3 linked regions of the Arabidopsis thaliana genome follow. The protein of the gene in region 2 interacts with the protein of the main gene of each other region in a pairwise test. Each region holds a gene or a part of one and is shown on either strand. Other genes may lie near its edges.

The links.
Region 1: the proteins of AT2G20110 (region 2) and AT2G33710 interact in a two-hybrid assay, tested with the Arabidopsis thaliana proteins (one large-scale study listed by BioGRID).
Region 3: the proteins of AT2G20110 (region 2) and NAC066 interact in a two-hybrid assay, tested with the Arabidopsis thaliana proteins (one large-scale study listed by BioGRID).

Annotation. Positions count from the first base shown.
Region 1 is NC_003071.7:14,258,635-14,262,394, forward strand, and holds AT2G33710 (Integrase-type DNA-binding superfamily protein), read right to left. Parts: upstream 2,106-3,760; 5' UTR 2,019-2,105; coding exon 1,838-2,018; intron 1,113-1,837; coding exon 673-1,112; coding exon of another isoform or gene 637-672; exon of another isoform or gene 406-636; coding exon 331-405; 3' UTR 175-330; downstream 1-174.
Region 2 is NC_003071.7:8,681,974-8,685,733, forward strand, and holds the start of AT2G20110 (Tesmin/TSO1-like CXC domain-containing protein), read left to right. Parts: upstream 1-2,143; 5' UTR 2,144-2,522; coding exon 2,523-2,806; intron 2,807-3,009; coding exon 3,010-3,117; intron 3,118-3,216; coding exon 3,217-3,394; intron 3,395-3,474; coding exon 3,475-3,760. UniProt on the Arabidopsis thaliana protein: Plays a role in development of both male and female reproductive tissues.
Region 3 is NC_003074.8:22,928,816-22,932,575, forward strand, and holds NAC066 (NAC domain protein 66), read right to left. Parts: upstream 1,642-3,760; 5' UTR 1,593-1,641; coding exon 1,421-1,592; intron 1,211-1,420; coding exon 378-1,210; 3' UTR 191-377; downstream 1-190. UniProt on the Arabidopsis thaliana protein: Transcription activator of genes involved in biosynthesis of secondary walls. Together with NST1, required for the secondary cell wall thickening of the anther endocethium, which is necessary for anther dehiscence.

The sequences.
Region 1 (3,760 bases), 5.6 Mb from region 2:
TACCTAGTTTAGTTTCATTTTTATTTACCAACCATTTCATCATTCAACGCGTTGAAAAATATATGAGCATTGGATAATAAGACAGATATAAATGTAAGTACATATTTAAAAAAATTTAGCTTATGTTTTGGAAACTCGAACACCCTCATCATGTGTATACCCTCTATATTTGTTTTTGAACTTTTTTTTTTATCTCTTTCGTACGTGATACAAAAGGATAAACTAGCAAGCTACTTCGGAGTGGAAAGACATAAAGCACCATGTACGAGCTTTTTTCTACCTGATATACTCGACCCAACCTGATCCGACCGGTCCGGTCAACACATTATCTCATTTGATCGGTCGATCAGGTGAGGCATGTTGTTGTCTCCGTCGGTCATCTTCTGTGGATATAGTCGTCATGACCTATCAGGACGTTTTCCAAGCTAAGTAGTCTTCATCCCATTCTTGCATAGTCATGTTCAAAATTTATATATTTTTCATCCATAAGGCCTGATTCCTAGCTAAATCCACTCCATAGACTCTTTAAAGACTACCAAAATGAAGTCGTAAAGAGATTAAGCGCCTAAAATGATCAAAGCCGGAGGTCAATGCGTTTGATAACTTGGACGAAGAGATATTTATGCCATTAACATGTTATTTTCGTCGTTTGTGGATACTAATGTTCTTCACGTTTTCACCATCCTCCAAATTTGGTCTTAGCCCTTGATGATTCAAAGATGAAGACGAAGAAGACAGCATATTCATGGACAAGTTGGCACTGGAATCACTACTTCGAGATTGAAAGTGGCCATATTGATCAAGAAGTATGTCAGGAGCAATTGGTGGAGGTGGACTAGGTGGTGTCACGATAATGCGATCATGGGAAGTAGCGGGCGATGGATAGAGTTGAGTAGGGTTGACACGAATATGCTCGGGGAAGTTAAGCTTGGCCTTGTGACCTCTAAACTCAAATGCAGCTTTATCATACGCTAAGGCGGCTTCTTCTGCAGTGTCGAACGTCCCAAGCCACACACGAGCTGCCTTGTTCGGGTCACGAATCTCAGCCGCCCATTTTCCCCACGGTCTTTGCCTCACGCCTCTGTAGTTTCGTTGCCTCGAGTTACTTTTTTCTGTAGAAAAATGATGAAAATTGTAAGTTCACTCTTGTCATGAAAATGGTGACTTAAATGTGACGTGCATGTCTATGAATATAACGTATACTATCGGTGTAGAGGCATTTCGTAAAGATTATTAAAGGGCGTTTGAATCATATGATATGATCATTCTACATCAACTTTTATTCCCCTCTTCTACATCTACTTATGAAATCTATATATTAGGCCAAACCTACATTTATACATTCCTCTCTCTCGTAATTGGTAATTAACTATATATATACTTATGTATCACACCAATGATATAATTAGGATATAAATTAAGTTTGATCATTTTAAATACGTTTTCCCCATGTTACAATCCTAAAACTCTCTCTGGCTAGTTATCTCAACCAAAATACGACCATTGCAACCAAGCCTTGCCAATCATATTTGTCCGAAAGCCAAATATGATCAATTTTGTCCAACCAATAAAGCCGACAGGTTTTTTCAAGAAAATCTAACCATGAACATTCATTAAAAAAATCATATAGTAAATTGAACTAATGCATTGTGGCCATACATGAAATTATATCTCTATTTGATCAAGGCCATGCTGCAGCCACTAAAGGATTACCAATTGCAAAATCCAAGATTAAATCATTCCTATGTGTAAAGAGAATCACCAATGGAAAAGACAATCACTCGAGTTATAAAGTATAGCAATTAAAATTATTGGAAAAAGGATCTGATGAAATTACCTTGAAGAGTAAGCGACGAAGATTGATCATCAATGGATGATGGGATGGGTTGACCAGTGAGTTCAGAGACAAAATCAGACACATCAGATTCCGACAAAGTTGAGCAACAACACAACTCTTTTTTCTCTTCTCTATTTCCGGCCATTGATTCTGGTGATAGAGGTCTCTTCCCGCTATGCATTATCCGATGATGTCAATTATGATTATTTTTATTTTATTTTTGAAGTCAAAGATGGGTTTGGGTACAAGCCAAAGAACCAGCAAAGATGTCTATTCTCTGCATCTATGTTATATATAGACGCACACGCATGTATTTGTTGACCAATATTATAGAGAGTTTGTCTAACCTAGAGGATATTTTGGTCATAAACATTACACACACTTTTTTGTTCCTTAAAAACAATTCTTTGTATTCATCTCTTTAATTTTCCTTAACAAACGTTACATTACGGACTGCATCGACCGACCCACTATGTAGTTGTATTAATGGTTTGTGTTAACCCAAAATCGATTGCGTGTCTCAAAAGACGAAAAAAAAAACGACTGTCTTATACAAAATTCATTAATTATGATCCAAGTCTTGTGTTAATTACGGTCAACATTTTAAGTTAAAATTAATTATTTATTATATATGTGGTGGATTTAAATAATTATTTTCATCCTGAACATTAAAGGGTTAATAATTTACCTAAATGACTCACCAAAAAATTAATTTACCTAAATGACCATGATGAATATCTAATTATTTAGGTAAATGAGCAAATGACAAACATATAATCAAAGAAACACTTTAATATATATAAACATGTAAACACCAATTATTTAGGTAAATAATGTATTTTCTATCATTTGACTTTAATGTCTTTATATATATATATATATATATATATATAGATACATATGTGTTTTGCACAATCATTTTATTTTAATAAACAACGTACTGTATAAATCACATAAATAAAATAGCATAATATTTTTGCTAATTAAAAGTCGCTTATGTCATCCAATACAGTTGAGTGTGTTTTTAAATTGTTTTATGTAATATATAAAAGTTCATGGTTAATTAGGATGAATATTCAAAATTAAAGGACAAACTCTGTTTCTATTCGCTACATATATAGTTTTACGGAATACACTCTGCACAAGTCATCATAAAACAACTGGAATGGAATATGCGATGAATCTCTTTAATAATAATATGTGGGATCTGACTGTGGATTCTAATCTAATATTTCTATTATAAGCAATTTGGACGATTCGTGCCATTTTAAAAATGGTTGAGGGATTTTTTTATGGGGTTGAATATTGTCATTGCGCCTTATCAGAAACACAAAAACAAAAAAAATATTGTCATTACATGCATGATGTTGATGAATTATTTTTCAATCATATAAACTTGTGGTTGAAGAAAAAGCACAATATTTAACAAACAAAAACATAACCTGAAACAATATAAACTTACTTTCTAAATTAATAAAACATTTGACCGAATGGGGAATCTAAAAGTGTGTCATATAAGATATTGATTTAAAGACCTAGATGACGTATGGGCTTACATAATATGTGGTCAACATTGAATATTATAGTCAGAGCAAACTTCGCACGAACAAATCAACTCCAATCTCACACCAATAGCATAAGACCATGCCGTAGTCTATATGATTGCCACAAAAGAATTATTCTTATTGGCCAACTTTGACCTAGTGTTATATTTGTATTTATATCTTTTAATTAAGTATTTATTGAATTATGTATATACATTGATTGTTGCATTCATCTTTTTTACTTAGTATGCCATCTATTCAATTAGATGAACACATTGTAATACTATAATAAATTACGTATGTTTAGTTACGATAGTGCTTTAATTTTGATCTAAACCACATGATCTAGTCAGAACGCTTTGATCGATATTTGTTTGTG
Region 2 (3,760 bases):
AGCATTTTCAGTTGACGAGTATGAGATGGCTTGTTGAATCATGTTTTTCTTACTTTAATAGGAAACTTTATTTATTCTCTTAATGTATATGTTGGTTCTATTTTAATTTTATTATTGTTATAATAGAATGGTTAAACAGTTAAAGATGTTTTCATACTAACTTCATCACTAGGTTTAATCGTTTAAGATGTTTTAAAGAAGCAAGAAATGTTGTCTTCGGAAAGAAAACAGATGTACTTATAGATACTTTCTGTTCCCAATAATTTAGAGACTAATGATTTCTTTTATAAATTGTCCTAATCAAAGTTTCGTTTGTTTTAGTTGTCTTTTTAGATTTCTCGTGCATGGTCTCAGCTCAGTTTATTTTTAGACACTTCAGACATCTCACCATGGTATTGGAATTGGTAGTGCTCAATTGGTGGGTTTATTATAAGCCCTTTGCTCCATCACTATAATTGGGTTTATGGACTTTGAATTAAATTCTACAGGCCCATGGGTTTATGGATATTGTTTTCAGCACATGTCAAATGTCAATATATGAAAAATTCAATGTGGAGAAACTTCTGGTGGCTTCATAAAGAGTAAGACTGCATTTCCTGATAGTAGTAGTGTACTGGTGTGGATGCAGATAACGTTATTAGAAATCAAAATTGAAAAGGTAGCTATTTTTAGGTCACATATTGTATCATTAATAGTCATTGTTCAATGATGAAATAATGAAAGACTAAAACTCTTGGATTGAGTCTTAGAGATCTATAATGTAACTTAGGGCATTAGCTTAGCCTTAATTTCACATGGTCAGTGCTTTAGTGTTGTGCAAATGAACTTGAGGAAGAAGCATTAGTTGGATTGAAGTTTTATTAGTATGCTTATATATACTTTTGTAATTCCTCATATAGTGAAGTGTCCTTCAACGTATTAAAACATAAAATATAAAATGGTTTGAGACTTGTAATATCTTTTATTTTCATGCAAATTTTTTTTTAAAAACTTTTATAAGAACAAACTTAGCAGTTGGTCTCTAGCACAATGAGTTTATTGTAGAATTTTGTGGAATCAAATTTAAGATTTAATTAACCTGAAAATAAGTTTAATAGATTTGTGACATCAAATTTTTAAAATGGAATCACAGTCTTACGTTTTCATTCCATCTCTAAAGTATGAAGGAAACCTGTAATGAAGCTTCCATGCCACCTAAGTTGTACAAAGTTCTTATCTAGCCTAATGAATAAAACCTAAAAATTAAACCAACTACAAAAGTTCAAACATGAAAAGCACATAGGAAAGGATCTAATCCCGATGTCGAACATCATAGTTCACTCATATGATTTTCAGTTTTCGTTGGTCTTGTGTGTTTTAAGTCTTTTTAAGTCTTGTGTGTTTATTGGTACCAAAAAATTAAATATTCTTCTAAAATTTACGTATCTAATTAAAAGAGAAAATATATATAATAAATCTTTTAACTATTGGTAATAAGTGTTAAAACAAATCTCAACTTTATAATAGAGTAAATATCAATGTTCTTTTTGTTGACCACGCAAAATAGACCTGAAATTAGTCAACTTTAACTATACTATTGTATTAACTAAATGTTAATTTTTAGTTATCAATTTATTATTTTGAGAAGATAATCAAACTGTTAACTAAAAATAAAAGTCACTTTCAGTTTCTATAAATCCCCAAAAATCAATTATAAACCCAAACTCTTCCTCACTTCATGTTTAAAGTTTAAACCAAAAAAAAAAAAAAAAACTCTTCAAAATCCTGATTTTGGGGAAGAACATAGATTCGCAAATCGATTCCTCTTCATCACGCAACATCAACAAAATAGTCAGTTTCGATTCCTTTTCTTACTTAGATTTTTTGTTTTTGTTTTTGAATATTTAAAACTATTGGGGCATTTTCGTGAGTAACTTAATAATTTGGGCCAAAACCGTTATTTTAAAACATTACTTCTCTATTATGTAGTAGTCACGAGTGATCGGATCGGACGGTGAACGATCGACGAAACTTCAAACCTTATATGAATAGTAATCGTCAGATCAACGTATTTAATAACAACCGTACGATCAAAATGTCTGTGAAATCTAACCGTCGAATATAATCCAGAAAATTGAAATTTCAAAACATGTATAAGAGAGGGAGGAGCAGCTCTCGCGAAGACGAAGAAGAAGAAGAAAAACCCCAAATTTCTCTGTTTTTTTTCGTTGGGTGGTTCCTCAGTGGTTACCAAATCTCTCTTCTTCTTCTTCGTCAGAAGCTAAAACCTTTCAAAACCCTAATTTCATCTATCTATCTCAATAAGTCTAGATCAAAAATTCGAATTTCAAAATCCCGTTTTGAGTTTTAGTAGATTCGGTTTCTGGGTTTTCGTAGAAACGGGATTAAGGGCGGATTCAGATCTTGAAATTTTTGTGTGTTTCTCAAACTGATTATAAATTTTGGTTTTTTTTTTTAAATTTCGTGTTTGAAAAATAGGGAAAATTTCTGGGTTTCTTCTGAGAAATTCGAATTTTTTGGAGATGGGAGAAGGTGAAGAAGGAGACAAATTCCCGCCAAAAACGGATGAGGTTACACAAGAGTCTATGAAGTCGGCGAGGCAACTCGATTTTACTGGTGGTTCTTCCGATGTTGAGCATTCACACTCTAATCAAGCTTCTTCGATGGCTGCTGCATCAATCCCTTCACCGATTGTGACGGTTACGCGGCCAATAATTACCAGTCAGGCACCACCGACGGTGGCGACTCCGATTCCACCGCCGCCACAATCTCAGGGCATCATCCTTCACGTCCCAATTAGACATCCGTAAGTTTCTCTCTTATTCAAAAATTTGAACTTTTGGGAAGTTGATAGAGATGTGTTTCTATGTTGCTGAAGTCAGATTTGGGGATTAAAGCATAGATCTTTACATTGATTTGAAAAGATTATTGAAATTGACATTTTGATTTTCATAGTGAATAAGGCAAGGTTTGAATTTCTAGAGTTGACACTTGTTTTTGTAATTGCAGGAGGCCCGAATCTCCGAATTCGATGCCAAGGCCTGCTGGGGAAACTAGAGATGGAACCCCTCAGAAGAAGAAACAGTGTAACTGTAAACACTCACGGTGCTTGAAGCTGTAAGTCTCTCATCATACCATTTGATGACAAAACTCTTTGTTTCTTTGTGGACTTGTTCATTGTGAATTGAACACTGTACAATGTCTTTTTTTGATCAGGTATTGTGAATGTTTTGCATCTGGCACTTACTGTGATGGTTGCAACTGTGTAAATTGTTTCAACAACGTTGAAAATGAACCTGCGAGACGACAAGCGGTTGAATCAACTCTGGAACGGAATCCGAATGCGTTCAGGCCAAAGATTGCTGCTAGTCCACATGGTGGACGAGATAACAGGGTATGTGGTTTGTGTTATGCTCTTTAAACTGTTGGTCTTAAGGTTGTTGGATAAGTTATAAATTTTGACTCGATTTGCAGGAGGAGGTTGGTGACGTTGTGATGTTAGCGAGACACAACAAAGGCTGTCACTGCAAGAAATCCGGATGTCTTAAGAAGTATTGTGAGTGCTTTCAAGCAAACATTCTTTGTTCTGAGAACTGCAAATGCTTGGATTGCAAAAACTTTGAAGGGAGTGAAGTTAGACAATCTCTTTTTCACGGTGAACATTCCCACAACTTGGCTTATCTTCAACACGCAAATGCTGCCATAACCGGAGCTATTGGTTCCTCTGGCTTTGCATCTGCTCCACCTCCTAAGAGAAGGA
Region 3 (3,760 bases), on a different chromosome or scaffold from region 2:
AATTGTAATTAGAAAACACCCGGCGATGCATGTGACAGACTATGATTTCTTACAGTAGAAAATGTAATTGCCTTTTTGTTCATCGAATGGCAATTAAGTTTCAAAAAGACAAAAACTAATATTCTTGATCCAAAGAAATTCAACTATGCAACCAATTCTTTTCTATAAAGTTAATCATGATATAAAATGTACACAGATATAGAGAACTTTTATTTTCTGTAATGATATCACATAACTACGTACTGTAATTATCACAATCTGACCATTTATACCGTAAAAGTTTCAACAACTATATATATGGTATGATGATTATTATATCTTTCTACACAATGTTTTGGTATGTCACTCACTTAGTCACTTCCTCTCTTCCATTTCCGTTATCCACTACCGTTCAACAAGTGGCATGTCGTTCTCGCGAAATCTGCCTCGTTCCATAAATCAATCTCCGGTATATAGTAATCTGGTGTTAAACCGGTATTACAACCGGACCGGTTCAGTCCATGATACGGTGATTGTGAAGTCTCATTAACGGCTGGTATTGAATACGAGTTGGGCCCATTTAACTGTGAGGCAACGAGCCGATCCAAAGCGGCCCAGCTAGTGATGAAGCTGGGATCCATAACTTTGCTGACGTGGCAGTTGTTGACTTGGTCGTCGATTAACCACTGATAACTCGTGATGGTGGTGTTGTTATGGCATTCGAGGTTAGGGAGTTTTAAGAAAGGGTCTAAAACTATCTCTCCTTTACAAGATTGCCCCATAACTTCGAGAAGTTGCTCGATAGTCTCCTCATTGAACGACGGCGTTTTCACCGAACTCGCCGGGCTACTACTAATCATGTTTTTGCAAAGGTTATTTTTCTTGAAAACACGACACACCACCCATCCTTCGTCACTTCCTATGACATCACACGTTTCTACGTTGACGTCATGATCGCCACACGAGGAGATTAATACACTCTCGTCGAGTCTATATTCGTGCATGATCCAATCGGATTTCTGACCATGAGGGGCTCGACCTTTGTAGAAGACAAGCGTCTTTCGCATCCCGATTCTATCACCATTGGTATATATGGTCTTGTCACGTCCCGTCGCTTTCCAAAATCCGACCGTGGTGGCTCTGTTGGTTCTAGTCCCGGTGGGATACTTCTTGTCCTTATGGCTATAAAAGTACCAATCGTTTTGCGGCGTCGTTCCAATCTTACACATCTCTACATAGAAAAAACAAGAGTTGTGTTAAGTTTTGACTGAATTTTGTTACTGCAAATTTTATTATCACAAAAAGTATATATTACTCTGCAAAATTTCCTGAATTCAGAGCTTTAGTTCTTGACTCAACACATGCATTAAAAAACTAATTTAATTAATATATACAAGCCCTATTAATACGTTTCATCAAGAATAAAAGATAAATGATGAACCTTGAATATCCCAAGGCTCGAGCTTGTTGAGATCAATGTCAGGAATAACATCGAGATCGATCTTGATGTTAGAGATTTTCTTGCGGAGGTAATACTTCAAGAGCTCTTCCTCGGTTGGGTGAAACCTAAAGCCAGGAGGTACTTGTGACTGTCCGTTTACTGATATGTTCATTGCTAAAGATAGAAAAAGGAGAAGAAAATAGAACGAGTTTATAACTAACCAAAGTATGTCTATATATATGTGTATATTTTTTACATCAACTCTGCAAAAAAATAAATAATAGTACATGCATGAGAAAATGCATGTGTTCTTTTGCTCTCATATTTTTAATTCCTTTGTTAAGTTTTCTTTTTAACAGTGGAGTATTATTTTTCCGAATATTTGATGTTTTCATTATAAGTTCGCATGAGCCGCCACTTACAATTAAACATATGAGCCTCTAAGAGCTTGTTTTAATAATTTGAAAATGTCTGTTTTATACTCATAGTGAATGCACTTCTCGAAAAATTACTCCCTATGAGTTTTTACTTAATTCTTAGTTCATACCAAGTATATCCAGCCAAAACAAAAAAAAAAAAGTATATCGATCAAGCTTCTTCGGCCTTTGGTTTTGCCGACTTTTCGCTCTACTAATTGCCTAGATTAGCATGTTAGTTTTGTTTTGTTTTTGCTTTTATCCAGAAATCTCTCGTAATGGTTGATTCGTCATGAGTTCACCTAGTATTTAAAAATCTATCTATTTTTCTGCATGATTCAGTATCTCTTTAACAAAGAAAAAAAATATGATTCAGTAAATTAGATCCGTTATAAATACAATGTTGCAATATTTCATCTAATAAAAGTTATAGTAATGTCTCTCTTTTTTTTTTATTTTTTTTTGGGTCAAATATACTAATGGTCTCTTTATTAAACATCGAAATTATTTGCTCTTTTTGTCCGGTGAAATTGTTTATGGCAATTTCGGAATAGTGCGTGAGAGAGAGCGGTGGGACCATGCACGTAGCTATTGGGTAAAAATATGGTCCACGCGGGATCCACATATCAACTATAATGTAGGAAGCAAGCCCACATCGCTCCGATGACCCTCGACCTTAAAAATCTCTATGGACAAGACATTCCTCATTTTATTTTTATTTTATATAGAAACGAATAGTGTTAACAAAAAAAGTGAATGAAGGGTGATGGCAACAAAAAATGTATGTGATGTGATGAAGAAAGACTTTATACATTATTGTGTTAAATACGACTTTAAAGCTCGTAGCTTGTTCTTGTTGAAGGTGATGCGAAGATAATGATATACTACATGATAATCCACAACCTCCTTAGAAGATGGAGAGAAAGAAAGAGATTAAGATCTGATTCAAGAAGCGTTTATCAAATATATGTGAAGTTAACATTGCAACGAATGTCTAAGATTCGAATATTGTGCATGTGGTTCACTCGAACTAATCATAAAGTTAACCTATCTGGTATTCAGGAAACGACGGTGGATTCGATTCATCCAAATTAAAATTTTAAATTATTGTATTAATTTAAACTTGAATGACGGCATGAATCTAGATGAACAGTTGTTTACAACTGTAAGCGAGGAGGTATCTACGTATGTTGTAGATTTTGTGGGGGCCTATTTACAAAAGGTTATTTTCTGAATTTCCTTTTTCTTACACATGGTTTTGAGATTATAATAGATTAATACGCAAGGGCCGTTCAAATTTGCCATGTGCTATAGGATAACATTGTTAATAAAAAATTAAATCATGAGATTAAAATTTTGAGTTAATGAATATTCTGAAATGTCTTTTTCATTTTTCTAACATGGTTCTGAGTTTATAGCAGAGTAATATATAATCTGATTAAAACGAACGTTGTTGCGGCACGGAGCTATGATAAATTGATGATAATTAGTGACAAAAAACTAAAATGATATAATTGAAGTATTACAAATCGTAATTTTTCTAGAAGATGAAGGAAGTTTGCATGGGAAGCAATCTTAATTTGAGGTGTTTCAAAATTTATTAAACCCTTAATGGTGAGACGTCATATAACTATATATATTAGCACTCGTGCTTGTCGGACTTATAACTTTAGCCTAATCTTAAACTGTTTCTGGCCAGCTTTGTGTCATTGGGCCTGAAATAAAAGAGTTTCTCCCTTTTGTTTTGCTCTTCTAGACTTTTGGCATTGAATAGGGAAGATTAAATAATCTCTAACTACGAGTCTACGACTTCATAAATTAATTGTTTCATGAGAGATAACAATGATATTTCAAATATATCTACGTTGATAAACTTATATAATCGTTCCAAGTCTTCAATGAATACGGAAATCAACATACTAAT